Saccharomyces cerevisiae S288C: one gene and its partners. Changing the gene in region 1 together with any one later gene gives a genetic interaction. Each region holds a gene or a part of one and is shown in the gene's direction. Other genes may lie near its edges.

Region 1 (6,152 bases):
GGTCAACACCAAAGATTTTGGCAAGGTCTTCATTTGTCGATTTCATGGGAATGTTTTTCACATAGAGAGTATTTGTGGATAGTGGCTTGAGATCAGGAGCAGTTTTCTTGTTTGATTTCTGGTTTTTTTCAAAACTTTTTTCCTCTTTTGTTAAGATGTTTTCAATAACAATTTTTTCATTCATAAAAATTTTACCGTTCATCTTCTCTTTCACTTTTTTCAGATTCACACCCTCTTGAAATTCTATAAATGCAAACCTTTTCAGCGGTTTCTTGAGTGGCTTTTTCTTTAGCATATTTATTGTTATCTTACCATAATTTGGCTCAAACAAATCTCTCAAGTCCTGTTTACGGCAGTTTTTAGGAAGATTGCCGACATATAATGTCCTCCTATCATTTAGTACTCTTTTTTTTATTTTTGTATTTTCAGGAACAACTGTTGTTGTTTTTTTTCCGTTGACGTTATAAAACTCTATCTCCTCTATTAGCATTGCCTATTCTTTTCTTAAAAGTTTCTTTCTTCTTAATTTTTTCAAGATTACTTGGGAAGATGCCCTATTTCCATTGATTTGAACGTATGTATGAATGAAAAGGAAGTGAGAAGGAACAAGAGAAAAGAACAAAAGAGTTTTTAGTTTTTATATTTGCTTACAGGAACTTCGGCGGCTATTTGTTGTATCGTCGACAGTGACGCTGATTCTTTCAAATATAAATAGCTGCCCCAATTAGTTTTGCTTGGCAAAACCCGACATTGATGAACTAGTGCCGCGCTTAAAAGTATAATGTTGCTCTATTATTTTTCAAAAATTCATACAAAAGAAAACGGGAATTAAGTAAGTATACAAAATATAATTATATTACGATGTTCGAAATTCTATATATGAATTTAAGCGGAGTCGGAAGTCTTAGCTCTCTTGTCCATCTTAGCTTGAGCCTTGTTACCAAGGATACCACCGCCCCAGTGCTTCTTGACTTCATCGTATTTGTCAGCGAAGTTAGCGTCAATGGTGGAAACCAACTTAGCCAAAGCAGCTTCGTCTTCGGCTCTGACTTCGGTCAAAGCGGCAACAGCAGAAGTCTTTTGGTTAACCAAAGTACCCAATCTAGCCTTACCCTTGATAATGGCGTATGGAACACCCATCTTCTTACACAAAGCTGGTAGGAAAACAACCAATTCAATTGGGTCGACGTCGTTAGCAATCAAAACCAACTTGGCCTTCTTGTTTTCAATCAAAGAGACAACATGGTTCAAACCGTACTTAACAGCGTATGGCTTTGGAGAAGCGTCTTGCTTAGACTTACCTTCAGCGATAGCGGCAGCTTCCTTGGTCAATCTTTCCTTCTTTTCAGCAGCGGTTTCTGGTCTGTACTTGTTGAACAACTTGAAGGTTTCAGCAGCGGTGTTTCTGTCCAAAGTGTATTGGAATTGAGCAATGGTTGGAGGAACCTTCAATCTGATGGACAAGATCTTCTTTTGTCTTTGCAATCTGACATATTCTGGCCATTTGACGTATCTGGACAAGTTTCTCTTTGGTTGGACAGCTTGGCCAATACCGAAGTTCTTTGGAGTAGAGTGAGTCAATGGGTTCTTAGCCTTGTTAGACTTAGTGGACTTAGCACCGAATGGAGCTGGAGCAACTTTCTTACCTGGAGCCATCTTTTCTTTCAGTTATCGTGTTCACTGTATTGAAAAACAGATATAAAAAAAAAAAATAGTGAATTTCAACGTGCGCATCACAATACTTATGTCTTGATAATAATATCGATCCCATACTATTGTCCCTGGATTTTGAGATGGGAAAAGTTTCAATGCGTTCTATCGTATAGTATGATGTATTCAAAAAAAATGCGATAATTCTTTAGTTGTCGGCACTTCGGAAGCCAAAAAAAAAAAAAAAAAAAAAAAAGAAAAAAAGAAAAGGGTGTCTAAGATGTACGGATCTTCATTGGGATGGAAAACAGGCAAGTAAAAAGAATAGTAATTATTACAATGGAGAAGATAAGATAAAGTTAGCGGCAACAAATAAAGAACTCATCAGAGTTCTTGGCTTCTCTATGAGTGAAAGTGTTTCAAAGGTGTTTTTTTATGAGACAACAGTAATTCCCCTCCTTCAGAACAGAGTGTAGTGATTGGCAGTGAAGCTATCCCTCTTTGCCACCCAATTTTGACGGCAGTTCTCATAGCATCTCAAAGCAATAGCAGTGCAAAAGTACATAACCGTAGGAAGGTACGCGGTAGGTATTTGAGTTCGTTGGTGGTTATCCTCCGCAAGGCGCTTCGGCGGTTATTTGTTGATAGTCGAAGAACACCAAAAAAAATGCTGTTATTGCTTTCTCCGTAAACAATAAAACCCGGTAGCGGGATAACGCGGCTGATGCTTTTATTTAGGAAGGAATACTTACATTATCATGAGAACATTGTCAAGGGCATTCTGATACGGGCCTTCCATCGCAAGAAAAAGGCAGCAACGGACTGAGGGACGGAGAGAGTTACGGCATAAGAAGTAGTAGGAGAGCAGAGTGTCATAAAGTTATATTATTCTCGTCCTAAAGTCAATTAGTTCTGTTGCGCTTGACAATATATGTCGTGTAATACCGTCCCTTAGCAGAAGAAAGAAAGACGGATCCATATATGTTAAAATGCTTCAGAGATGTTTCTTTAATGTGCCGTCCAACAAAGGTATCTTCTGTAGCTTCCTCTATTTTCGATCAGATCTCATAGTGAGAAGGCGCAATTCAGTAGTTAAAAGCGGGGAACAGTGTGAATCCGGAGACGGCAAGATTGCCCGGCCCTTTTTGCGGAAAAGATAAAACAAGATATATTGCACTTTTTCCACCAAGAAAAACAGGAAGTGGATTAAAAAATCAACAAAGTATAACGCCTATTGTCCCAATAAGCGTCGGTTGTTCTTCTTTATTATTTTACCAAGTACGCTCGAGGGTACATTCTAATGCATTAAAAGACATGAGTAATCCTCAAAAAGCTCTAAACGACTTTCTGTCCAGTGAATCTGTTCATACACATGATAGTTCTAGGAAACAATCTAATAAGCAGTCATCCGACGAAGGACGCTCTTCATCACAACCTTCACATCATCACTCTGGTGGTACTAACAACAATAATAACAATAATAATAATAATAATAACAGTAACAACAACAACAACGGCAACGATGGGGGAAATGATGACGACTATGATTATGAAATGCAAGATTATAGACCTTCTCCGCAAAGTGCGCGGCCTACTCCCACGTATGTTCCACAATATTCTGTAGAAAGTGGGACTGCTTTCCCGATTCAAGAGGTTATTCCTAGCGCATACATTAACACACAAGATATAAACCATAAAGATAACGGTCCGCCGAGTGCAAGCAGTAATAGAGCATTCAGGCCTAGAGGGCAGACCACAGTGTCGGCCAACGTGCTTAACATTGAAGATTTTTACAAAAATGCAGACGATGCGCATACCATCCCGGAGTCACATTTATCGAGAAGGAGAAGTAGGTCGAGGGCTACGAGTAATGCTGGGCACAGTGCCAATACAGGCGCCACGAATGGCAGGACTACTGGTGCCCAAACTAATATGGAAAGCAATGAATCACCACGTAACGTCCCCATTATGGTGAAGCCAAAGACATTATACCAGAACCCTCAAACACCTACAGTCTTGCCCTCCACATACCATCCAATTAATAAATGGTCTTCCGTCAAAAACACTTATTTGAAGGAATTTTTAGCCGAGTTTATGGGAACAATGGTTATGATTATTTTCGGTAGTGCTGTTGTTTGTCAGGTCAATGTTGCTGGGAAAATACAGCAGGACAATTTCAACGTGGCTTTGGATAACCTTAACGTTACCGGGTCTTCTGCAGAAACGATAGACGCTATGAAGAGTTTAACATCCTTGGTTTCATCCGTTGCGGGCGGTACCTTTGATGATGTGGCATTGGGCTGGGCTGCTGCCGTGGTGATGGGCTATTTCTGCGCTGGTGGTAGTGCCATCTCAGGTGCTCATTTGAATCCGTCTATTACATTAGCCAATTTGGTGTATAGAGGTTTTCCCCTGAAGAAAGTTCCTTATTACTTTGCTGGACAATTGATCGGTGCCTTCACAGGCGCTTTGATCTTGTTTATTTGGTACAAAAGGGTGTTACAAGAGGCATATAGCGATTGGTGGATGAATGAAAGTGTTGCGGGAATGTTTTGCGTTTTTCCAAAGCCTTATCTAAGTTCAGGACGGCAATTTTTTTCCGAATTTTTATGTGGAGCTATGTTACAAGCAGGAACATTTGCGCTGACCGATCCTTATACGTGTTTGTCCTCTGATGTTTTCCCATTGATGATGTTTATTTTGATTTTCATTATCAATGCTTCCATGGCTTATCAGACAGGTACAGCAATGAATTTGGCTCGTGATCTGGGCCCACGTCTTGCACTATATGCAGTTGGATTTGATCATAAAATGCTTTGGGTGCATCATCATCATTTCTTTTGGGTTCCCATGGTAGGCCCATTTATTGGTGCGTTAATGGGGGGGTTGGTTTACGATGTCTGTATTTATCAGGGTCATGAATCTCCAGTCAACTGGTCTTTACCAGTTTATAAGGAAATGATTATGAGAGCCTGGTTTAGAAGGCCTGGTTGGAAGAAGAGAAATAGAGCAAGAAGAACATCGGACCTGAGTGACTTCTCATACAATAACGATGATGATGAGGAATTTGGAGAAAGAATGGCTCTTCAAAAGACAAAGACCAAGTCATCTATTTCAGACAACGAAAATGAAGCAGGAGAAAAGAAAGTGCAATTTAAATCTGTTCAGCGCGGCAAAAGAACGTTTGGTGGTATACCAACAATTCTTGAAGAAGAAGATTCCATTGAAACTGCTTCGCTAGGTGCGACGACGACTGATTCTATTGGGTTATCCGACACATCATCAGAAGATTCGCATTATGGTAATGCTAAGAAGGTAACATGAGAAAACAGACAAGAAAAAGAAACAAATAATATAGACTGATAGAAAAAAATACTGCTTACTACCGCCGGTATAATATATATATATATATATATTTACATAGATGATTGCATAGTGTTTTAAAAAGCTTTCCTAGGTTAAGCTATGAATCTTCATAACCTAACCAACTAAATATGAAAATACTGACCCATCGTCTTAAGTAAGTTGACATGAACTCAGCCTGGTCACCTACTATACATGATGTATCGCATGGATGGAAAGAATACCAAACGCTACCTTCCAGGTTAATGATAGTATCCAAACCTAGTTGGAATTTGCCTTGAACATCAAGCAGCGATTCGATATCAGTTGGGAGCATCAATTTGGTCATTGGAATACCATCTATGCTTTTCTCCTCCCATATTCGCAAAAGTAGTAAGGGCTCGTTATATACTTTTGAATATGTAAGATATAATTCTATATGATTTAGTAATTTATTTTCTATACGCTCAGTATTTTTCTGCAGTTGTCGAGTAGGTATTAAACGCAAAAGAAGTCCATCCTTTTCATCATTCAAATGGACATCTTGGCAAAGGGCCCAGTTATGGAAAATCTGGGAGTCATACAACGATTGCAGTTGGCTATGCCACTCCTGGTAAGGAATCATCAAGTCTGATAATTCTGTTTTTTAGCCCTTTTTTTTTTTTTTTCATGGTGTTCTCTTCTCATTGCTTTTCAATTTTAAGTTCGTTACCTTTCATATAGAGTTTCTTAACAGAAATTTCACAACGAAAATATAATTAACTACAGGCATGTAAATATAAAAACAGTCCTTTAATAATAAACCTTAAGCATTACGCGTGTATTAATATAATAAATAGTTATAAATTGAATAAATAGGGGAGAGAAGCCAAAAGGCCCTTCAAAAACAAAGATATAAATTCATCCTTAAAAACAACAATACCTGAAGATACTAGAACACCTTGTCGCCTATGATGGACATATATACAGACCGGGTCATAGCATTGCCAATGATAAATAAATAATAGTCATAGAGAGTAAACATAAACGCCTAACGTATAGGAATGTGTGAGAATGGTGAGTTTCGTCCTTGAAAATAATAATAATAATAGTTGGTGCTTTTATTAGTGCCAAAATCATTTGAGAGGCTTCTGAGTTCTTCGGGGCTAGCTGTTTTTCTG
Region 2 (7,309 bases), on another chromosome or scaffold:
AGTCCAGGAGTTATCTATGCTTTTAATGAGCGATGAATCCAATATAGGCTTTGAAAATGGGGGACAGAAAGAAAATAAGGCTACTGAGGGCCAACTGACTGATAAGGAGGTTGAAGAATTGACCAACAGATCTCTTGAAGCGTACAAGGCCAACAGAGTCGTAGATCTGCCGCACGTCAAGCTATTTGAAACAACCTCCGGTCTTTAACTTGGTTATCATACAATATTGTTTTTATTAAATGTTTGTATATATGTACATATACATACCTATATATTGATCAATGTTCTTGCCGTACAAATTCTTCCTCTAGTTGTTCCTTTAGTTCACGGTTTTTGAATAAAGTATCCGCAGTATTCATTCGTTGCAGAAAGGTATCTTGAATATTATTTTTTGTGTTCTGGAAATCAGCTTTTAGTTTAGTAATCCATTCCAGTATCAAAGTCATATCCAGATCATGTTTTACCAGACGGTTCCTCTCAGAAATAACTTTCTTTTTCAATTCCATGAAACGGAGCCAGTTGGAATGATTCTCTTCTATATAGGCAGGATCGTATTGATCTTCCAAATGGAGACCTCTGACGTCCATATATGCCATTCTTTGCGACCATTGACTTATCATTACATCGCCCCACTCTTCGTACACTTCGACGTTTTCAAGACGAATCGATTCTGCCAGTTTAGCCATTTCGGTAAGAAAAGAATCTAATGAATGAAACAGTGATTTTTCAAAGTCTAACAAATGTATTTTATAATTCTTCAGTATCGATGTGATAGATGATTTGGTAATGTAAGCTTCCAGTTCAACTTGACCCGATTCATCAAAATACTTTATTTTATTTTGCACAGGATCGAATTTAGAGGTACAATTAATATCTTTGATTTTTGAATCTAGAAACACTAATTGCTCATTAACGGTAGTGTTAAGGTCATCAAGATTCCTAGTGATTTCTATAGATTTATTTTGCACCTCGGCCTCGAACACAGACTGTATCTCTGAATCCAAAAGTGCCATCGCACTGTGTATTTTCGAATCTATAGCCTTAATCCATGCTTCATATTCCATTTTTAATGATTCTGCCTCGTAAGTTTCCAATTCTGCATGGCTATTGGAACCAATGATAATCTTTGACAAATCCTGCAAAATAGCAGCAGTGACGAGTTGTGAGTTCCCGTGGCCATCCTGTACTCCATCGAACTCGTATTCTTTATTTTCATCCTCAATTCCGACATCATCCTCATCCTCATCTTCATCCTCATCCTCATTTTCATTCTCATCATCCTCATAATCCTCTGTTTCCGAGTCTGTCTCAAAAATGGGTTTGGTGAGCGTGCCATCAGCGCTAAAGGAGCCGTATTTCATCCAATCCGTAGAGGAGTTAAATGGATTCTCTAGTACATTCTTCACATTGTCTGTATATGGCTTTAAATAGTACCAGGCAATCCTTAGATGATTTAATAAAGGTCCCAACTTGGAATGTAGCGAACAGCAGAGCTCATTTAGCCTTAGAAAAGAGAAAATATTGTACCAAAAGCGGTAAAAATATCCCATAATTCTCTTCAAGGATGAGTTGGGGTATCTTTCAATCAGTGGTTTTATCGATTGTGAGTACTTTCCAACTAAATAGTCAGAAACCGCTGAACCTTCAACCAATTTAGAATCGAATAGTGAGCCAACTGAAAATTCAGTATGCCGGCAAATGGGCTGTAAATCTGTGGCAAAGCTTCCCAGACCATTTTGCTGACAGACCAGATACCTTGCAATAAACACGCAAGCCAGCAAAGCAGTCGTTACTTTGAAAACGGCCTTCATGATTTTTAGTAAAGAACTAACCACCTTTTTCTTAGTTAAGAAAAGGTCAATCAGTAACAGAAATATGATAGTAGCAACACCCAAAAAAATGCTATCTTCCAATAGTCAAAAAGGAAGCCTCGATGCCATACAAGTCTCTTCTAAAGTACTATTATGTAATTCCTGTTAAATGATACCTGTATTGTGGCTTAAAAGGGCCGAAATGACAACAAAATGAGTAGGGTTAATTTAATTTTTAAAGAGGGCATTTATCTAAAAAATGAAAGACAACTATAGGGCTGGTAATTATAGAATAGGTCTTAGTAGGGTTATCCCTTCCTCTAGAAAAAAAGAAAGAAAAATAATTTTAAGTGGCCAATTAGAACCAAAACCAACAGTATCGTGGTATCATACGCTCCAAAGCAACTAGAAGAAAGGCCTTATTTGACCATTGGATTCAGTATTTTTTCTCCAAGTAGCGGTTAAAAGACTGAGAGACTAAAGCTAGATAGTGGGTTTGAGTGACTATCCCCTTTTTTCCTCCTCTTTTTTTATTATTTTGATTTTATTTCATTTTGATTTTATTTCAACACGATTAAGACACAAGCGTTACTTCCCTAGACTATAGTCTCTGCCGTTCCCATTCTATTGATTTTTGGAGCAGCAGTTTTTACAAAAGAAAAGAAAAAAAAGACGAAAACAACAAGCCAGAGTAAAGATGTCGTTTTGGCCATTTGGACAGAATCTTAATCACTCTAATATTAATAAGATCCTAGATGAATATTTTCATGTGCTACACGAACTGGAAAGGATTAACCCAAGCGTTGGTAAAGCCATTCCCGCTATTTTCAACAACGTTCAGGAACGAGGTACAAGTGACTCCCTAGATTCTATTCCGGAGGAGTATAGTCATGGTGATGAAGTGAAAACGGCACGTGGAGATCAGAAGAGTCGATTTGAGAAGGATGATCAGCAAGAACGGTATGAGAAAGAGGAAGAGGAACGGAGCATGAACTCTAGCGAATCTTCCACTACATCTTTTTCTTCTGGGTCAACTTCTAAAACTGATTTAGATGAGGAGGATATCAGCAATGCTACTGCTCCCATGATGGTCACCACAAAGAATTTGGATAACTCTTTTATTGAAAGAATGCTTGTAGAGACAGAGCTACTGAACGAATTATCGAGACAAAACAAGACGCTACTTGACTTCATTTGCTTTGGATTTTTCTTTGATAAGAAAACTAATAAGAAAGTGAATAATATGGAATATCTGGTCGACCAACTGATGGAATGTATCTCGAAGATTAAAACCGCCACCACAGTGGATTTGAATAACCTGATAGATTATCAAGAACAGCAACAGCTTGATGATAGCTCACAAGAGGACGTTTATGTGGAATCTGATACGGAGCAAGAAGAGGAGAAAGAGGACGATAATAACAGCAATAACAAGAAGAGACGAAAACGCGGAAGCTCCTCGTTTGGTAACGATGATATCAACAACAATGACGACGACGACGATGCGAATGAGGACGATGAATCTGCTTATTTGACAAAGGCCACCATAATATCTGAAATCTTTTCCTTAGACATATGGTTGATTAGCGAGTCATTAGTTAAAAACCAATCATACTTAAACAAGATTTGGTCTATCATCAACCAGCCAAATTTCAATTCTGAAAACTCTCCCTTGGTACCCATATTCTTAAAGATTAACCAAAATCTGTTGTTAACCAGGCAGGATCAATATTTAAATTTTATTCGAACGGAGAGAAGCTTTGTTGATGATATGTTAAAGCATGTTGATATTTCCCTATTGATGGATTTTTTCTTGAAAATAATATCCACAGATAAGATTGAATCACCCACGGGAATAATTGAATTAGTATATGATCAAAACTTGATCAGCAAATGCTTAAGCTTTCTAAATAACAAAGAGTCCCCAGCTGACATCCAAGCATGCGTGGGTGATTTCTTAAAGGCTCTGATTGCCATTTCTGCTAATGCACCCTTGGATGATATTTCCATTGGTCCAAACTCCTTGACGAGACAGCTAGCATCTCCCGAATCCATTGCAAAGCTAGTCGATATCATGATCAACCAAAGAGGTGCCGCATTAAATACCACAGTTTCGATTGTCATTGAGCTGATAAGGAAAAACAATTCAGACTACGATCAAGTTAATCTTTTAACCACTACTATAAAGACTCATCCACCTTCAAATAGAGATCCAATATATTTAGGCTATCTACTTCGGAAATTTTCAAACCATTTGTCCGATTTTTTCCAAATCATTCTAGATATTGAAAATGACGCCAACATCCCATTACATGAAAATCAGTTGCACGAAAAATTTAAACCTTTAGGATTTGAAAGATTCAAAGTGGTGGAATTAATCGCCGAGTTACTGCATTGCTCTAATATGGGATTAATGAATTCCAAAAGGGCAGAAAGAATAGCCAGAAGAAGAGATAAAGTAAGGAGCCAGTTATCCCATCATTTACAAGATGCATTAAACGATCTGAGTATCGAAGAAAAGGAGCAACTTAAAACGAAGCACTCTCCAACACGTGACACTGATCACGACCTAAAAAATAACAACGGTAAAATAGATAACGACAATAATGATAATGATGATGAAAGTGACTATGGCGACGAAATAGACGAGAGCTTCGAAATTCCATACATCAATATGAAGCAAAACATAAAACTTAGGACCGACCCCACGGTCGGGGACCTATTCAAAATCAAACTATATGATACGCGAATTGTTTCCAAAATAATGGAACTATTCTTAACACATCCTTGGAACAATTTTTGGCATAATGTTATATTCGACATAATTCAGCAAATCTTCAATGGAAGAATGGATTTTTCCTATAATTCCTTCCTTGTTTTGTCTCTGTTTAACTTAAAGAGCTCCTATCAATTTATGACTGATATCGTCATATCAGATGAAAAAGGAACGGATGTTTCCCGATTTTCTCCCGTTATTAGAGACCCAAATTTTGATTTCAAAATAACTACAGACTTCATATTAAGGGGCTACCAGGATTCATATAAATTTTATGAGCTAAGGAAAATGAATTTGGGATATATGGGCCATATTGTCTTGATTGCCGAAGAAGTGGTCAAATTTTCTAAATTGTACAAAGTGGAACTAATATCTCCCGATATTCAAGTAATTTTACAAACCGAAGAATGGCAATACTACTCCGAAGAAGTCTTAAACGAAACAAGAATGATGTACTCTAAAATTCTTGGCGGTGGAAGTTATATTGATGATGGAAATGGTAACATCATTCCGCAGCTGCCTGACAATACTACTGTATTAACTCCAAATGGTGATGCAAGTAATAATAATGAAATCCTTGATTCAGATACCGGGAGTAGTAATGGAACAAGTGGTGGCGGCCAATTAATCAATGTTGAGTCTCTAGAAGAACAGTTGTCCTTATCTACAGAATCTGATTTACACAACAAGTTAAGGGAAATGTTAATCAATAGGGCTCAAGAAGACGTTGATAATAAGAACACGGAAAATGGGGTTTTCATACTGGGGCCGCCGGAGGACAAGAACAGTAATAGTAACATTAACAATACCAACCATAATAGTAATAATAGTAATAACAACGATAATAACGATAATAATGATAATGACAATGATAATACTCGTAATTATAATGAAGATGCTGATAATGATAATGATTATGATCATGAATGATACATTGTTTTGTACTTTTCTTTAATTTGTATATATATATATTAATTTATATGTATAAGTACCATGTAGTTTTCTATTCATTCATTCATTCATCATGATAATATTACTTCTTACGTATCATTTACGTGAATAGATCACTTTACCGTTAGGCAATTCCATTTTCTTTTGGCCTTTCTTTGCAGAACCCTTTTTTACTTTGTTCCCCTTTTTTGTTTGGTTACCATCATACTTTTTACTATCCGTTATTATTTCTTCTTTTCCTGCGCTACCAACAGATTTGCCAAACGTCATGTTCCAAACCGAAGCAGGTATTCTCCAAAACAAACAGTTCTTTACTGAAGGTTTATCCAAGGTATCTGGCGAAATTAGTGTTTCACTTCCATCAGGCTCTACAACATAGACATCGCTAAACCTTACAACCAAACTTTTACCCTCATCCTTTTCATGTTGTTTAAACGTTAGTTGTTTTACGCCTAGTCCATTGGTATCATCCTGTTGTTTACACTGACTGATGAAGTTTTCAATTCTTGATCTTTGAGAACGATATTGAATAATAGAAATGATATACTGCCCAATATTAACGACTATCCAAATAAAGGCCAGCAGGAACCAAGTCTTAGGCTTCATTCTGGAAAAATAAAAACCACCCTTATGGAAATCATAGTTTGGAAAGCCATTCTGTAGATAATAATCATAAATCTTACGATTAGAGCTGTTTGAAAGAATTTGAGTAGCGAGGTTTAACCTTTCATACAATTTACGGTATTTAGGGTTCTTATCCGGATGGTACTTCTTGGATAGCTTTCTTAAGTTTTTTGTAATCTCCTTTGTACTAGAATTCTGCAGTTTAGGTAACTTCAAGAACTTGTAGAAGTTCATATCTGGGCCATATTTCGTACTTATTTCATTTTGTAATTGGAAAATTTCTGTTTCAATGGTGGTAAAAGCATATGATAGAGATACCAATCCCAGGACAACCAACGCAGGTTTCCAGTAACCGTTCATTCTTTTAGTGATCTTGTAACCTTGATTTTTTGTTCGTTTTCTATTCTTTTGGTACGTGTTATTTTGAAAATCTCATTTTTTTCGTGATTATTAATTTTGAATATGGAAATTAAATATGATTTACCTTCAAATTGGGAAATAATGTAAATACAACGTCAATAAAAGTATTTGTTCGGTCACATATATTTAACTAGCATTGAGGATGGCAGGTATCAAGTTGACGCATAAGCTTTATCAGTATTATCAATTAGCCACAAGCTTTTTGTATGCTGCATTATTGATACGGTGGCTGATATTAATGCCACTGGTAGGGTCTCGGTTTTTACCGGGAGGAATCCACGAATTCTTGATATATTTGATGTTTTATTCCAGCATCATGGAAGTTATTTGGTTGCTTAGATTCCACGGGTTCAAATATGGTTTGCTTTCAAGAACGTTTTTGAAAGACCTAAATTTTATCTATTTAGTCAGCGTGATCCATTTTTATGACGATTATGAGCATGCATTGATCCTCAAGAATGCATCATATTCTAGTTTCATTATTTCCTTATCTTTATCACAGGCATATTGCCATTGGTGCAAACTTTTTAAACGTAAGGGCGTAAAGGAAAGAACACTTGTATGGAAGGTTAACACATTTGTTACATTGCCAATTCTCTACCTGAGTGAATTTGCATTGCTACTATTAAATATCCAGGTTAAGAACTATCATTCTACCCCGACTTTGGACATAATCAACAGGGTGGTTTTACTAGCATACTTCCCTGTACTACTAACAGCATACAAA
Region 3 (7,913 bases), on another chromosome or scaffold:
GAACAAACCATTAACAGTAAGGATTACGAAACAAAGGCTAATACACAGGCCAAGGAAGCCAATAAAAGCAAGCTGGATAACACTGTTGCCGAAATCGAAGGTTTGGAAGCTACTATTGAAAACTTGAAGCGTTTGAAATTGTAGATTGAAGGTAGATAAAAATTAATGTAATATATATATATATATATGCTATGTATATGTAACAACGAAAATGTTAAGAATTTTAGAACATTGAATAATAACTATTTCCAAATATAAGAGGTAGTCTCCGGCATACGACATAGCATGTTGTGGTATATTATAATCTATAATGGCTATACAACTAGACGAGGTGATATATTGTCCTGTATTATTCTTCTTATATTTGTGACAAGTTCTTGACACTTTTGCTCACCCAGCTCCAGTAAACTGAACAATTGATCTTCATTAAAATCACCATTGCTGTCTAACAATAAAACGTTTTTCACGACTTTACCGCCATTGACGAACTCCAGAGCTAAAGTGTGGACAGAGAGCGAAATCTTCAATTGCTCGGCAGTGGGATCGACAATGATATCACTAGTGTCTTTGATTATTGCAATAGGGATGCTTGCGCACATACTATTTAAGGCAATTCCTGCATCAACTAAAGCCAAAAATGCCGCATTTATACAACAACTTAGCTCTCTCAGGGAGAATTCGGCTTCATCTTCACCAGATTCCAGAATTTGACAAGTTATCTGGCAGAGCTGTCTTGGGTAACAATGACGAGTGATGAGTGGGGTCAGAACTGCCCGTAATTTATCTTCGAGTACCTTCTCTCTTGTTGTGGCCACCCCTTTCGCGGGACGTACAATAATTTCTAATGCTAATTGTGTAGGCAGTTCTTGTCTTGCTTTTGGTTCAATAGGGCCTGTTACAGAACAAATAACCTTGGTGTCTTGTGATACGAATTCAGATGAACCATCTACATGATCTAATATCCCTATTTCTGCTTGGACGCTCATTTTTTTTTTTTTTTCAGCAGAATCTAATCTATTCTTGGTATTGGGCTCCTTGTTATTACCATATATGCAGAGATATTTTATGCATCTTAACTGGTTCATCTAACAAATTTTCCACTCTTTTTTCCACAATCCGATGCGCTTAAAAGGAAAAAAAAAGTAGTAAAAAGAAAAAGAGAGGTACATAATAGTCTTTATGAAGAAAAGGCGCTATTTTGTCACCTTTAACTTGGCATAGTCTGGAGCTTTATATAAACCATTCAAAGTACATAAATGTTGATATGTTCAAAGAGGAGGACTCGTTAAGAAAAGGGCAAAATGTGGCCGCGTGGAAAACTTTGTTGGCTGGCGCCGTATCCGGGCTGCTTGCCCGTAGCATAACTGCTCCCATGGATACCATTAAGATCAGATTGCAATTGACCCCTGCAAATGGGCTGAAGCCCTTCGGAAGTCAGGTCATGGAGGTGGCCAGAAGCATGATAAAGAACGAAGGCATCCGGTCCTTTTGGAAGGGTAACATACCCGGTTCTTTGCTGTACGTTACCTATGGCTCAGCGCAGTTTAGTTCATACTCCCTTTTTAATAGATATTTAACTCCATTTGGACTAGAGGCGCGCTTACATAGTCTTGTTGTCGGAGCCTTTGCTGGCATAACCAGTTCCATCGTTTCCTACCCGTTCGATGTTTTACGGACCCGACTAGTTGCCAACAACCAGATGCACTCAATGAGCATCACGAGAGAAGTGCGTGATATCTGGAAACTAGAAGGTCTCCCCGGATTTTTCAAGGGCTCCATCGCGTCAATGACAACCATAACTCTAACCGCATCTATAATGTTCGGAACATACGAAACAATCAGGATATACTGTGACGAAAACGAAAAAACGACCGCCGCGCATAAAAAATGGGAACTGGCTACTTTAAATCACAGCGCTGGTACCATTGGCGGCGTCATTGCTAAGATCATTACTTTCCCCCTCGAAACGATCCGTAGGCGAATGCAGTTCATGAATTCGAAGCATCTGGAAAAGTTCTCCCGTCATTCGTCTGTATACGGTTCTTATAAAGGGTACGGATTCGCAAGAATCGGTTTACAGATTTTGAAACAAGAAGGTGTGAGTTCGCTTTACAGAGGTATTCTGGTGGCCCTTTCCAAGACAATACCCACCACTTTTGTGAGTTTCTGGGGGTATGAAACTGCCATCCATTATTTGCGGATGTACTAAAGTTTCCAATCTTTTTTGTCACATGTACACACTCATATACATATACGAAATCATCATATCTTATATTCTTCACTGACAAAGATCGGTAGCCGCCCGGTTTTCCATTCCGATTACGGCCTGACTCAGTCGCGCCGTCTTCCTCTAATAACAAAAAATCGAAAAAAAAAGAGGAATCTCGTTGCTAGCGATCTGACGCCAACCCTTTTTCCGGTTTTTCTTAGTTGCCTGCTGCCCCGCACCGGTTTTTCTTCTTTTTTTTATCTTTTTTTCCGCTCAGTCAGCGGGGAAGGGAGAGAAGGAAACAATGAATCGGATCTTCCGATGGAACCAGCGTCAGGGACCACTACATCTGCTTGTTGTTTCAACACAACTTACATCTGCGCAAGCACACGGACTAGGAGTAACAAGAAGTAGTAAAATTGAAGAAAGCAAGGACTGCTGCAATCTCTGCACCCTTGTGGTAGCCACCCTTCTTAGATGTGGCATACTTACACTTTTTTTTTTCTTTTTTTTTTTTTTTTTTCGCCTTTTCTCATTTCTTGGCTCCTTAATAGCCAAGAAATGAGAAACGTGGGAGATGTTCAACCTCGCCTGATCCTACCAAAAAAAAAAATCGCAAAAATAAGCGGGAAAAAATGTCAGATTCTAAGTTTCAAACCTCCGGAGATGATTCATCATCACCATCACCGCCGATTTGTTGGATTGCGTGTTTACGATCCATCATTTTTCTTGTAAGCGTTTAGCTTTCTGTCATCTCTTTATCTTTTTTCCTATTTTTTTTTTTCACTAGTTTTTGCACTGAATAACACCTCCCCTTACTCATAAATGTGCTAGCTGAATCCATATTTCCTAGTCTTGCATTCCCTTTCCCTTCAAACAGCGCTGCCCTTCTTCATCTTCATTGTCGAAAATAACCATTCTTCTCCTATCTTGAAATCTAAAAATAACGCTACTACAGAAAGCTTTTTTCACAGGAACTAGGGCGAAGCGTACAAGAATAAGGAAAGACAGCGTAGTTACAAACTAAACTATCTATACTATAACGACCGAAAATTTCTGTTTTTTAACACCTCTTCTACCAAACACAACGAGAGTGCATTAGAAATAGGACAAAACTGGGCTCAAACTAATGTCTGATTACTTTAGTTCCAGACCTTCGCAAACGCTCACGCCGATGGGCAATAAGCCATCTGGCGGTGGTGGCGGCGATGACGCCTCCTCCATCCACTCGAAGAGCTCGCAGTACTTGATGGACATCTTACCTGATTCGATGACCTTGAACGAAAGTGTTTCCTCCATAGTGGCAAACAATCAGGCAAAGGAGTTTATTTTGCCTGAAACAGATGAGAGATCTCCCTACTTCATAAACGTCCCTATACCAAAGGCTCAGCCAACCTCTACTACGGAAACGAAGAAGCCCCTTGCAGGTGATGAAGCTATCGATGGGCAGTTTGTTAAGGAGTATCCCACCGACATCCTTGTAGACAGGTTTTATAAATGGAAAAAAATTCTGAAAGGGTTAGTGATTTACTTGAGGGAAGTCGCGTATGCGCAAGAACAGTTCGCACGGATCAATTACCAACTGAAAGGATCTGTGAAATTTCCATTTTTGACTGATATTGATGAAACCACAAATACCATTACGGATCCATTCACAACGGCTCCTAGAGGCCCTAAGAAAGCGCAGCCTGCGCAGAAGAAAGTTGGCCTGACTGACAGCGAACAATTTCAGATGCAAATGCAACAGGAACAGCAGGAAAATGCAGTGCAGGCTCCCACAGATGAAAGTAAAATGAGTTTGGCGCCTCATGAATACAAGCCTGTCCAGACCACAGAGTCGGACAATACATCTGCCGCATCCGGTTTTGTTAAGTTCGGTTCAGGCTCGATTCAAGACATCCAGGTCATTTTGAAGAAGTACCATCTTTCGTTGGCTAACCAGCAATTTAAGATCTCTAAAGAGATTACGTCCACCGTCATTCCTAAATTGGAGGAATTGAGAAAAGATTTAAGATATAAAATTACGGAAATTAAGGACCTTCATGGTGATTTCAAAACAAACATCGGAGCACATATTCAGCTAACAAGTCAACTATTGAAAAAATACATCGCAGCTGTAAAATTCATGAACGCGCATGGTATTGGCAACGATAGAGCATCTCCTACTAATAAGAAGCCACATAAATTGGATCCAAAACATGATCCATATCTTTTGAAACTGCAACTAGACTTACAACTCAAACGTCAAGTTGCCGAAGAAACTTACTTGCAAGAAGCGTTCATCAATTTACAGAGTTCAGGTTTGCAATTAGAAAAAATTATATACACCAAAATCCAGCATGCTTTGTTGCGTTATTCTGCTTTAATTGACTCCGAAGCTCGTCTAATGATCAAAAATATGTGCCAAGAACTACAACATGGTATAATATCAAAGCCTCCTGCATTTGAATGGGATAATTTTGTCACACAGCATCCGTCCTGTCTACTCAATTGGAAATCCAACGATCCTATACCACCACCAAGAAAAGTTTCCGACGTTATTTATCCCCACATGAAATCCCCACTGGCCAAGTGTATTAAGGCAGGTTATTTTTTGAAGAAATCGGAATTGTTGCCCACTTACCACCAAGGATATTTTGTTCTAACATCAAACTATATTCATGAATTCCAGAGTAGCGATTTTTATAACCTATCTTCTTCTACCCCTAACTCCACGAAGTCTTCAGCTTATTCTTCTTCCGTTTCCATTGCAGACACTTATGCCAATGCTAATAATGCCAAAGCTAACAATCATCATCGCCAGGCTAGTGATGTACATAACAGCAGTACGACAACTGGTGGTACAGCTGGTGCAAATGGTATTCGCGGTATTCGCAAAAAGAGCTATTTGGCACCGATTATGAGTATTCCGCTAAATGATTGTACCTTAAAGGATGCATCTTCCACCAAATTTGTTCTTGTAGGTAAACCCACTCTTAATGAAAACGCTGATGTTAGAAAATCTAGCTCTAGCACTTATTTATCTGGCTCTTCACAAGCGTCTTTACCAAAATATGGCCACGAGACTGCAAAAATATTTTCAAAAGCCCCATTCCACAAGTTTTTGAAGGGAAGTAAGCCCAAAAATAAGAATACGAAATCAAGTGAACTGGACCAATTTTACGCTGCAGCTCAAAAGGAATCGAACAATTATGTGACTTGGACCTTTAAAATAGTATCTCCAGAGCCTTCTGAAGAGGAATTGAAACATTTTAAACGTTGGGTCCAAGATTTGAAAAATTTAACGAGCTTCAATGACACTAAAGATAGAATTAAGTTTATCGAAGACCGTGTGATGAAATCACACCGATTCAAGGCGGGACATATGTCAAGAAACAGCGTGAACATAGGTTCCCATACACCTTGTTTAACAGATAGCACATTCACATTACAAGACGGTACTACGACGTCCGTCAACCTAAAGGGCAGGGCGGAGAAACCTCAGTATATTCATATTCAGAACAATTCACTAGCAGATTTTGATGGAAATGGTTTTAGATCCAAGGTTAATACACCTGCTATTGACGATTATGGCAATTTGATTACGGTGGAAAGAAGACCTGCACAATCTCCGCACCAATACTCTGACTACATGGCCACTTCAGGTAACACAACTCCTTCTTATTCATCGGGCTCAAGACCTCAAAGCATGTATAATGGGTATAACCCGGCTGTATCAATAACGAGTAATGGGATGATGCTCCAACAATCAACAGCAAATAATAATACTAATCCAACAACTAATTTGCGCCACCAAAGAAATATTTCACAAACAAGTTCCCTACCTGGATTTTCATACACATCCCTATCCCTACCAGTGAATTCTCCAGGTAGCTCTAATTCAGAATCCAGCTCAGGCGGTTATTTTGCCATTCCGCTTCATGGGAACAACAACAATAATAATTACACCCAGAGAAACTCTGAAGGCTCTAGCCCATGTTATAATGACGACCAAATACGACAACAACAGCAACCTTTACAAATGCAACCTTTATCAAGAACTTCAAGTTCAAGTGTTAATGTCACAGCGATGAGAAGTACATCTGCAGGTAATTCAATTACAGCGAACGCTCCCGTTGTACCTAAGGTGATGGTCAATAACCAAAATGTTAAAACTGTTGCTGCCGATCAGTCTGCTACAGCACCTTCTTCACCTACCATGAATTCGTCCGTCACAACGATCAACCGCGAATCACCATACCAAACCTTAAAGAAAACGAACAGCACAGGCAATGTTCCTTGTTTGACTGCTGAAAAGACTCATGCGCACCCTGCTTTCTATAAACGGGGCAATAATAGCGCCCAAAATTTGACTACCTCTAGTTCAACAGCTTCTAGGGTGCATCCTATCCGAAAGCACAAGAAAAACGTATCATTTAGTTCTTTGAATAGTTTAATGTTTTCAAAAAAGGGTGCAAATCACGGTGGTAATCTAATGACTAACCAATTTATGAGTGGTGGAATTCAAGAAGATGATGGTGATTCAACTAATAATGATACTATAAAGCTAAACCAGTCGATTTATTCTTAATTGTTACGCCTTAACTTTTGTTCTCTTTTGAGAAACAGCCTGTATGGTTCGCCGTTTATTTTCTAAGCACCGTTTTTTATTCATATTTTTATAATGCAACTCCTATAGAATATAGATGTTTCGTGTTTTTAATTCCTGCTATGACTTTGTGTCAATGGTATGTGAACTAACAACTGTGTGGTAGTTTGGGATGGTACGTAAAGGTGTTCGTGATTATATAAGCAATCTTAAAATATTTGTATCGCACCATGAGGTGCCCAATAATGAAATGAAAATTACTATTATGAACTATACTAAAAAGATGAAACTTTTTTATCAATCCCAGGTTCTTTTACTTATTATTTTTGGATATAAGAACAAAATCGGATTTCCCATGCTTTTTCTCAATGCCTATATGAAATCTTTTCGAAACAGCCAGTACATGTAACAATTATGATACGAACTTGATCGGTAACCCATAAATAACAGGAGCTGCGCCGTTCAAGTAACGTAGATGGCATACACCTCTAGATTTAGAGACGGCATATGAAACAGATAGGCTATTACCATTCAAATCGTCAGTATTACAGCGAAATCCCATCTTTTCAAAAAGTTCCTCGCTAAATTTATCAATATCTTTGTCAGTTACATCCCACAGATTACCTAGTACCATAGGGCATCCTCCCAGCAAATAAGTATAGATTGTTCCAGTAGGTTCTAACTTGCCGTAATATTTCATCGCTGCTGAAGAGCAGCCCAGTAAAAAGCTGGGGGCAATTTTGGTGCATTTCTTAATCTCCTTACTCCTTACATATTGTTCACCTCCGCCATGCCCTATATAAACGAATAAGTTAGAATTTTGCAGCATTTTCAAAAGTGTTTCCTCTTCCGGCTTCTCGTTCATCACTAATTGAGAGGAAGGTTTTGCATCGATTATTTTTTGGAACATACCCTTGAATTTAGATTCAGTCCTGGACAAATCTCCGTTCGGATTTAATATCATACTAATGTTGTCCTCAATAGTTACTTGAAGGGGTAGTTGGTAATGGAAACGCGATAAAAGTTTATTCAGACAAACATAGGACGGAACACGTGTGATAGACAAATCTTTCAAAAATGAAAGACACTCCCAAGGGAATAAATGGCATGAACTGC
Region 4 (9,126 bases), on another chromosome or scaffold:
GCAAAGAAAAGAGGTGTGAGGAGCGCAAAAGCAAAAAGGGGGATAGCATACATTAACACATTTTTTGGCTCTTTGCTACTTGATTTGGTTGCTATCAAGGCGATTTAGTTTCGTCTGATAAGAAGGACACTATAGATTGGTTGAATGATTCTGGGTTATCTAAAAAAAGATTGTGACCGGAAGAAGGTATTTCTAAATAACTTGCTCCTTCTAGACAGTTCTTTAAATTGTTCAACTCTTTGACCATGAACATACCGGCTTTTTTATTCATCCAATCATATTGCCCATATACTATCAATAATTTCTTAACATTTAAATATTGCAGAGAATCCATCAAGGGGTCCTTTGCTAGGATACATCTTGAAAATAACGCTTTGAAAATATCTGTCGTAACCTCCGGTATACCTCCCTTACCGTAAAACAGTTCAAATATGTACTCTTTGTATGCCAACGATGGGACTCGGCTATATGCCGCCATTATGTAATTCCAACATAACTTAGCTCCTAATGGTCCCATCATTCTCAAAATGTGAAATTGTTGTTCAAATAAGTATTTTGGAATCATATTTCTTTTGGAGTAAAACTTGGAATTTGGATTTTTAAAATCGATAGTATAAAGAGTGTTGGAGTGGAAATTATTATTTACAGACCAGATATTCCTTTCCACTCCTAGTGGGGATACCAAGCAAAGTTTGTTTACCGAGTTTGGATATTTAACAGCATATTTAAAAGATAAATATCCGCCAAAAGAATGCCCCACAACATTCATTTTGCCCAATTTGTTATCAATGCGCCATTGCTCGATTCTGTCGAGATAGAAATCTTCGTACATTTGAATCACAAATTTATTGTGATTTGCATTTATTGTATATGGAACCTTAAATTTATTTTCTCCAATAAATTTGATATCTAACGGCAGAGGTGTTGTTGTATTGATCTCTAAAGACGGTACTGAAGACAATCCGCTCGCTGGCATGTCAATTGAGTATAAATTTCGGATGTGCTTGGACAGACCTGGATAATTTCTGAAAAAAGACATTGAAGATGCGGCATAGCCATGTATCAGCAATGTTGGTGTTCGAACAGTACTTGTGTTTTCATTTTGGAAATGCCATTGATTTATTTCGTTGAATAACTTATCATTCTTTTTAATACCTTCAACGTGTACCTCTTCCATAATACGTCTCTGTAATTCCTCCAGCCGCATATAAGTTTTGTGTGGGTTATTCAAATGGCTTGACCATAGCTTGAATCCAGATTTTTTGACAGCATTTTCCTCCTTGGGTCTAAGAATCCTTTCCAAAATTTTTCTCTGGAGACTCTTTTCACGACGTTTAACTTCCAGTAGGCTTCTATTACTGTGGAACGCTCTCTTCCACATGTAACATTTATATACATTCATTATCTGCCTCCTTAAACTTTCAGGGTCCATCAAGTACCTCTTTATTAAAAGCATTTTTCATTCGCTCATCCTTAAACTGGAAAGGCATAAGGAAACTGTCAGAATATATAAATAGAGGTGTAAAACATGTGAAGCTCTGTGGAGTTCTAAGCTGGAATCGAAACAGTTGTCTCAATTTTAGTAATGTCCAAGGGCTTTCCAGGAGGTCAGTATATTCAAAGCCAAAATAATTAATGTTTTGGTCTGAATTTTTATTTTTCAAAAATGAGGTGAAAACCTCCAACGAAACTTTTTAATTAAAACCATCCGATACAGAATTTTAAATCATCTAAAGCATTTATTCGGCATTTTATCCTTGAATAACGTACTATGCAACTCATATAAATACTACAATATACTTTCTCTTTAGGAAATTCGTAGCTATCAACAAAGGTAGTGTCATTGTATATATACTTCCGCCTTCCTAAAAAAAACTTCATTATGCCTCCAAAGAAGATATCTTTGTCTCCTAACATGAAAAGAACAAACAATGTCATGGAATCTACTATTTGTGCTGCTAATAGGATTCGTAGTTTTGATATTACTTTCGCCCGTCTTCAAGTCAACATGGCCATTTTCGACTTTCTATCGTAATGTGTTTCAGCCCTTCCTAGTGGATGACCAAAAATATCGTTGGAAGTTGCATTTAGTACCTCTTTTCTACACCTCTATTTACCTGTACCTAGTATATACATACCACATGAGAGTGGAGTCTACGATTAAGAATGAGCTATTCCTTTTAGAACGAATACTGATCGTGCCTATAATTATACTACCGCCGGTAGCATTAGGAATTCTAGCCATGGTAAGCAGAGCTGAGGATTCAAAGGATCATAAATCAGGCTCGACAGAGGAATATCCATATGATTACCTATTGTATTATCCTGCCATAAAGTGTTCGACATGCCGGATCGTCAAGCCTGCTAGATCCAAACATTGTAGCATTTGCAACCGATGCGTTCTCGTCGCCGACCATCATTGCATCTGGATAAATAACTGCATCGGAAAGGGAAACTACCTTCAATTCTACCTTTTCCTAATTTCCAACATATTCTCGATGTGCTACGCCTTTCTAAGGCTGTGGTACATTTCTTTAAATAGCACAAGTACGCTCCCTAGAGCTGTTCTGACTCTTACCATATTATGTGGATGCTTCACTATCATCTGCGCTATTTTCACGTATCTTCAATTGGCCATTGTAAAGGAGGGAATGACTACAAATGAGCAAGATAAATGGTATACCATTCAAGAGTATATGAGAGAAGGAAAACTGGTGAGATCATTGGATGATGATTGCCCATCTTGGTTTTTCAAATGCACAGAACAAAAAGATGACGCTGCTGAACCACTCCAAGATCAACATGTTACGTTTTATAGCACGAATGCCTACGACCATAAGCACTACAACCTTACACACTACATCACGATTAAAGACGCGTCCGAAATTCCCAATATATATGACAAAGGTACCTTCCTGGCCAATCTCACAGATTTAATATAGTAAATTGTCATGCATATGACTCATCCCGAACATGAAATTTTTTTTCACTCGGTTTTTTCTCACCGCCATAGATTCTAACCGCAAATGTCGAACAAATTCATTATACAAGCGGTTTATTAATATAGAAGGTAGGACGCCGACTCGTAACCATTAGTAACAGATCACAGCTATACTCGGTCGTTCAAGTTTATATAATCTCCTAGTTGAGAAATCCCTACGTAAGATAATTGTATATTACGATGGTGCAGTTAGCCAAAGTCCCAATTCTAGGAAATGATATTATCCACGTTGGGTATAACATTCATGACCATTTGGTTGAAACCATAATTAAACATTGTCCTTCTTCGACATACGTTATTTGCAATGATACGAACTTGAGTAAAGTTCCATACTACCAGCAATTAGTCCTGGAATTCAAGGCTTCTTTGCCAGAAGGCTCTCGTTTACTTACTTATGTTGTTAAACCAGGTGAGACAAGTAAAAGTAGAGAAACCAAAGCGCAGCTAGAAGATTATCTTTTAGTGGAAGGATGTACTCGTGATACGGTTATGGTAGCGATCGGTGGTGGTGTTATTGGTGACATGATTGGGTTCGTTGCATCTACATTTATGAGAGGTGTTCGTGTTGTCCAAGTACCAACATCCTTATTGGCAATGGTCGATTCCTCCATTGGTGGTAAAACTGCTATTGACACTCCTCTAGGTAAAAACTTTATTGGTGCATTTTGGCAACCAAAATTTGTCCTTGTAGATATTAAATGGCTAGAAACGTTAGCCAAGAGAGAGTTTATCAATGGGATGGCAGAAGTTATCAAGACTGCTTGTATTTGGAACGCTGACGAATTTACTAGATTAGAATCAAACGCTTCGTTGTTCTTAAATGTTGTTAATGGGGCAAAAAATGTCAAGGTTACCAATCAATTGACAAACGAGATTGACGAGATATCGAATACAGATATTGAAGCTATGTTGGATCATACATATAAGTTAGTTCTTGAGAGTATTAAGGTCAAAGCGGAAGTTGTCTCTTCGGATGAACGTGAATCCAGTCTAAGAAACCTTTTGAACTTCGGACATTCTATTGGTCATGCTTATGAAGCTATACTAACCCCACAAGCATTACATGGTGAATGTGTGTCCATTGGTATGGTTAAAGAGGCGGAATTATCCCGTTATTTCGGTATTCTCTCCCCTACCCAAGTTGCACGTCTATCCAAGATTTTGGTTGCCTACGGGTTGCCTGTTTCGCCTGATGAGAAATGGTTTAAAGAGCTAACCTTACATAAGAAAACACCATTGGATATCTTATTGAAGAAAATGAGTATTGACAAGAAAAACGAGGGTTCCAAAAAGAAGGTGGTCATTTTAGAAAGTATTGGTAAGTGCTATGGTGACTCCGCTCAATTTGTTAGCGATGAAGACCTGAGATTTATTCTAACAGATGAAACCCTCGTTTACCCCTTCAAGGACATCCCTGCTGATCAACAGAAAGTTGTTATCCCCCCTGGTTCTAAGTCCATCTCCAATCGTGCTTTAATTCTTGCTGCCCTCGGTGAAGGTCAATGTAAAATCAAGAACTTATTACATTCTGATGATACTAAACATATGTTAACCGCTGTTCATGAATTGAAAGGTGCTACGATATCATGGGAAGATAATGGTGAGACGGTAGTGGTGGAAGGACATGGTGGTTCCACATTGTCAGCTTGTGCTGACCCCTTATATCTAGGTAATGCAGGTACTGCATCTAGATTTTTGACTTCCTTGGCTGCCTTGGTCAATTCTACTTCAAGCCAAAAGTATATCGTTTTAACTGGTAACGCAAGAATGCAACAAAGACCAATTGCTCCTTTGGTCGATTCTTTGCGTGCTAATGGTACTAAAATTGAGTACTTGAATAATGAAGGTTCCCTGCCAATCAAAGTTTATACTGATTCGGTATTCAAAGGTGGTAGAATTGAATTAGCTGCTACAGTTTCTTCTCAGTACGTATCCTCTATCTTGATGTGTGCCCCATACGCTGAAGAACCTGTAACTTTGGCTCTTGTTGGTGGTAAGCCAATCTCTAAATTGTACGTCGATATGACAATAAAAATGATGGAAAAATTCGGTATCAATGTTGAAACTTCTACTACAGAACCTTACACTTATTATATTCCAAAGGGACATTATATTAACCCATCAGAATACGTCATTGAAAGTGATGCCTCAAGTGCTACATACCCATTGGCCTTCGCCGCAATGACTGGTACTACCGTAACGGTTCCAAACATTGGTTTTGAGTCGTTACAAGGTGATGCCAGATTTGCAAGAGATGTCTTGAAACCTATGGGTTGTAAAATAACTCAAACGGCAACTTCAACTACTGTTTCGGGTCCTCCTGTAGGTACTTTAAAGCCATTAAAACATGTTGATATGGAGCCAATGACTGATGCGTTCTTAACTGCATGTGTTGTTGCCGCTATTTCGCACGACAGTGATCCAAATTCTGCAAATACAACCACCATTGAAGGTATTGCAAACCAGCGTGTCAAAGAGTGTAACAGAATTTTGGCCATGGCTACAGAGCTCGCCAAATTTGGCGTCAAAACTACAGAATTACCAGATGGTATTCAAGTCCATGGTTTAAACTCGATAAAAGATTTGAAGGTTCCTTCCGACTCTTCTGGACCTGTCGGTGTATGCACATATGATGATCATCGTGTGGCCATGAGTTTCTCGCTTCTTGCAGGAATGGTAAATTCTCAAAATGAACGTGACGAAGTTGCTAATCCTGTAAGAATACTTGAAAGACATTGTACTGGTAAAACCTGGCCTGGCTGGTGGGATGTGTTACATTCCGAACTAGGTGCCAAATTAGATGGTGCAGAACCTTTAGAGTGCACATCCAAAAAGAACTCAAAGAAAAGCGTTGTCATTATTGGCATGAGAGCAGCTGGCAAAACTACTATAAGTAAATGGTGCGCATCCGCTCTGGGTTACAAATTAGTTGACCTAGACGAGCTGTTTGAGCAACAGCATAACAATCAAAGTGTTAAACAATTTGTTGTGGAGAACGGTTGGGAGAAGTTCCGTGAGGAAGAAACAAGAATTTTCAAGGAAGTTATTCAAAATTACGGCGATGATGGATATGTTTTCTCAACAGGTGGCGGTATTGTTGAAAGCGCTGAGTCTAGAAAAGCCTTAAAAGATTTTGCCTCATCAGGTGGATACGTTTTACACTTACATAGGGATATTGAGGAGACAATTGTCTTTTTACAAAGTGATCCTTCAAGACCTGCCTATGTGGAAGAAATTCGTGAAGTTTGGAACAGAAGGGAGGGGTGGTATAAAGAATGCTCAAATTTCTCTTTCTTTGCTCCTCATTGCTCCGCAGAAGCTGAGTTCCAAGCTCTAAGAAGATCGTTTAGTAAGTACATTGCAACCATTACAGGTGTCAGAGAAATAGAAATTCCAAGCGGAAGATCTGCCTTTGTGTGTTTAACCTTTGATGACTTAACTGAACAAACTGAGAATTTGACTCCAATCTGTTATGGTTGTGAGGCTGTAGAGGTCAGAGTAGACCATTTGGCTAATTACTCTGCTGATTTCGTGAGTAAACAGTTATCTATATTGCGTAAAGCCACTGACAGTATTCCTATCATTTTTACTGTGCGAACCATGAAGCAAGGTGGCAACTTTCCTGATGAAGAGTTCAAAACCTTGAGAGAGCTATACGATATTGCCTTGAAGAATGGTGTTGAATTCCTTGACTTAGAACTAACTTTACCTACTGATATCCAATATGAGGTTATTAACAAAAGGGGCAACACCAAGATCATTGGTTCCCATCATGACTTCCAAGGATTATACTCCTGGGACGACGCTGAATGGGAAAACAGATTCAATCAAGCGTTAACTCTTGATGTGGATGTTGTAAAATTTGTGGGTACGGCTGTTAATTTCGAAGATAATTTGAGACTGGAACACTTTAGGGATACACACAAGAATAAGCCTTTAATTGCAGTTAATATGACTTCTAAAGGTAGCATTTCTCGTGTTTTGAATAATGTTTTAACACCTGTGACATCAGATTTATTGCCTAACTCCGCTGCCCCTGGCCAATTGACAGTAGCACAAATTAACAAGATGTATACATCTATGGGAGGTATCGAGCCTAAGGAACTGTTTGTTGTTGGAAAGCCAATTGGCCACTCTAGATCGCCAATTTTACATAACACTGGCTATGAAATTTTAGGTTTACCTCACAAGTTCGATAAATTTGAAACTGAATCCGCACAATTGGTGAAAGAAAAACTTTTGGACGGAAACAAGAACTTTGGCGGTGCTGCAGTCACAATTCCTCTGAAATTAGATATAATGCAGTACATGGATGAATTGACTGATGCTGCTAAAGTTATTGGTGCTGTAAACACAGTTATACCATTGGGTAACAAGAAGTTTAAGGGTGATAATACCGACTGGTTAGGTATCCGTAATGCCTTAATTAACAATGGCGTTCCCGAATATGTTGGTCATACCGCTGGTTTGGTTATCGGTGCAGGTGGCACTTCTAGAGCCGCCCTTTACGCCTTGCACAGTTTAGGTTGCAAAAAGATCTTCATAATCAACAGGACAACTTCGAAATTGAAGCCATTAATAGAGTCACTTCCATCTGAATTCAACATTATTGGAATAGAGTCCACTAAATCTATAGAAGAGATTAAGGAACACGTTGGCGTTGCTGTCAGCTGTGTACCAGCCGACAAACCATTAGATGACGAACTTTTAAGTAAGCTGGAGAGATTCCTTGTGAAAGGTGCCCATGCTGCTTTTGTACCAACCTTATTGGAAGCCGCATACAAACCAAGCGTTACTCCCGTTATGACAATTTCACAAGACAAATATCAATGGCACGTTGTCCCTGGATCACAAATGTTAGTACACCAAGGTGTAGCTCAGTTTGAAAAGTGGACAGGATTCAAGGGCCCTTTCAAGGCCATTTTTGATGCCGTTACGAAAGAGTAGACAATAATATATCTATCCTTTTTTATATTTTACAATGCTTCTATGATATCTTTACTAAGTATGAGTTGCCAAATAGTCAGTGTGACTGCTTACATACGTTGAATTTCTGTATATTTTTACTAAGTTGCAACAGTTAGATAATTACAAGTTACCCTTACATTCTGTGGGATGTAGTCGAAGAACATCTCAGAGTAGGTCATCAAAAGATGCAAATCAGCTGAGCACCCCACTTTCAAAAACATTGTAAGATATTTGAGGGAAATCGCCTCTGGCCCGTTTATTCACTGAAGAATTAATTATGTGCAGTAGTATAAATGAAGGTCCGTATAATTCGCCCACTTTTGGAAAATCATTATCGTTGAAAGTAGATGGTGGGTTCAATGCCGTATCTATCAATCCCTCTGGTAGGGATATTGTTTTGGCCAGTCGGCAAGGTCTTTATATTATCGACCTGGATGATCCGTTTACACCTCCAAGGTGGTTGCATCATATTACGCCCTGGCAAGTTGCTGATGTACAATGGTCGCCACATCCCGCAAAACCATATTGGATAGTCTCGACATCGAATCAAAAGGCAATCATATGGAACTTAGCAAAATCTTCATCAAATGCCATTGAGTTTGTACTTCATGGGCACTCAAGAGCAATTACAGATATAAACTTCAATCCGCAACATCCGGATGTTTTAGCTACCTGTTCAGTCGATACGTATGTACATGCTTGGGATATGAGAAGTCCACATAGACCATTTTATTCGACAAGTTCATGGAGATCTGCTGCTTCTCAAGTGAAGTGGAATTACAAGGATCCTAACGTCTTGGCATCTTCACATGGAAATGATATATTTGTGTGGGATTTGAGAAAAGGCTCCACTCCCCTCTGTTCTTTGAAAGGCCATGTAAGCTCCGTAAATAGCATAGATTTTAACCGGTTCAAATATTCTGAAATTATGTCGAGTTCGAACGATGGGACGGTGAAGTTTTGGGATTATTCAAAAAGTACGACAGAATCAAAGAGAACTGTAACAACAAATTTTCCAATCTGGAGAGGACGTTACCTTCCTTTTGGAGAAGGTTATTGTATTATGCCAATGGTTGGAGGCAATAACGCAGTTTATCTGATTAATCTATGCGACGATGATGACAGTGAACAAAATAAGAAGACGAAACTCCAGCCAA

Evidence for each region.
Region 2: mutations in FPS1 (region 1) and SAP155 together harm fitness more than expected from each alone (negative genetic interaction), as found in Saccharomyces cerevisiae (2 studies listed by BioGRID).
Region 3: of FPS1 (region 1) and ASK10, extra expression of one rescues a mutant of the other (dosage rescue), as found in Saccharomyces cerevisiae (3 studies listed by BioGRID, with this or other methods).
Region 4: mutations in FPS1 (region 1) and ARO1 together harm fitness more than expected from each alone (negative genetic interaction), as found in Saccharomyces cerevisiae (3 studies listed by BioGRID).

Annotation. Positions count from the first base shown.
Region 1 is NC_001144.5:46,974-53,125, forward strand, and holds FPS1 (Fps1p), read left to right. Parts: upstream 1-2,964; coding exon 2,965-4,974; downstream 4,975-6,152. Other genes in the region: RNP1 (Rnp1p), read right to left, coding at 1-490; 60S ribosomal protein eL8 RPL8B, read right to left, coding at 886-1,656; ATG10 (E2-like conjugating enzyme), read right to left, coding at 5,114-5,617. UniProt on the Saccharomyces cerevisiae protein: Channel protein for glycerol. Has a role in both glycerol influx and efflux. Plays a role in osmoregulation: under osmotic stress the channel is apparently closed to allow accumulation of glycerol in the cell under hyperosmotic conditions.
Region 2 is NC_001138.5:231,734-239,042, forward strand, and holds SAP155 (Sap155p), read left to right. Parts: upstream 1-2,508; coding exon 2,509-5,517; downstream 5,518-7,309. Other genes in the region: IRC5 (putative ATPase), read left to right, coding at 1-208; OSW7 (Osw7p), read right to left, coding at 279-1,811; ERJ5 (Erj5p), read right to left, coding at 5,635-6,522; KEG1 (Keg1p), read left to right, coding at 6,725-7,309. UniProt on the Saccharomyces cerevisiae protein: Positive regulator of protein phosphatase SIT4. Involved in directing expression of TOR-repressed genes and in dephosphorylation of NPR1 in response to nutrient starvation. Negatively modulates K(+) efflux of the cell by the Na(+)-K(+)/H(+) antiporter NHA1.
Region 3 is NC_001139.9:675,357-683,269, forward strand, and holds ASK10 (Ask10p), read left to right. Parts: upstream 1-3,338; coding exon 3,339-6,779; downstream 6,780-7,913. Other genes in the region: VAS1 (valine--tRNA ligase), read left to right, coding at 1-144; exosome non-catalytic core subunit RRP46, read right to left, coding at 315-986; thiamine transporter TPC1, read left to right, coding at 1,265-2,209; ESP1 (separase), read right to left, coding at 7,210-7,913. UniProt on the Saccharomyces cerevisiae protein: Positive regulator of FPS1 glycerol channel required for the glycerol efflux. As a component of the RNA polymerase II holoenzyme, is required for SSN8 destruction in response to oxidative stress but not heat shock.
Region 4 is NC_001136.10:701,303-710,428, forward strand, and holds ARO1 (pentafunctional protein ARO1p), read left to right. Parts: upstream 1-3,181; coding exon 3,182-7,948; downstream 7,949-9,126. Other genes in the region: ECM18 (alpha/beta hydrolase family protein), read right to left, coding at 95-1,456; palmitoyltransferase SWF1, read left to right, coding at 1,932-2,942; MTC5 (Mtc5p), read left to right, coding at 8,247-9,126. UniProt on the Saccharomyces cerevisiae protein: The AROM polypeptide catalyzes 5 consecutive enzymatic reactions in prechorismate polyaromatic amino acid biosynthesis.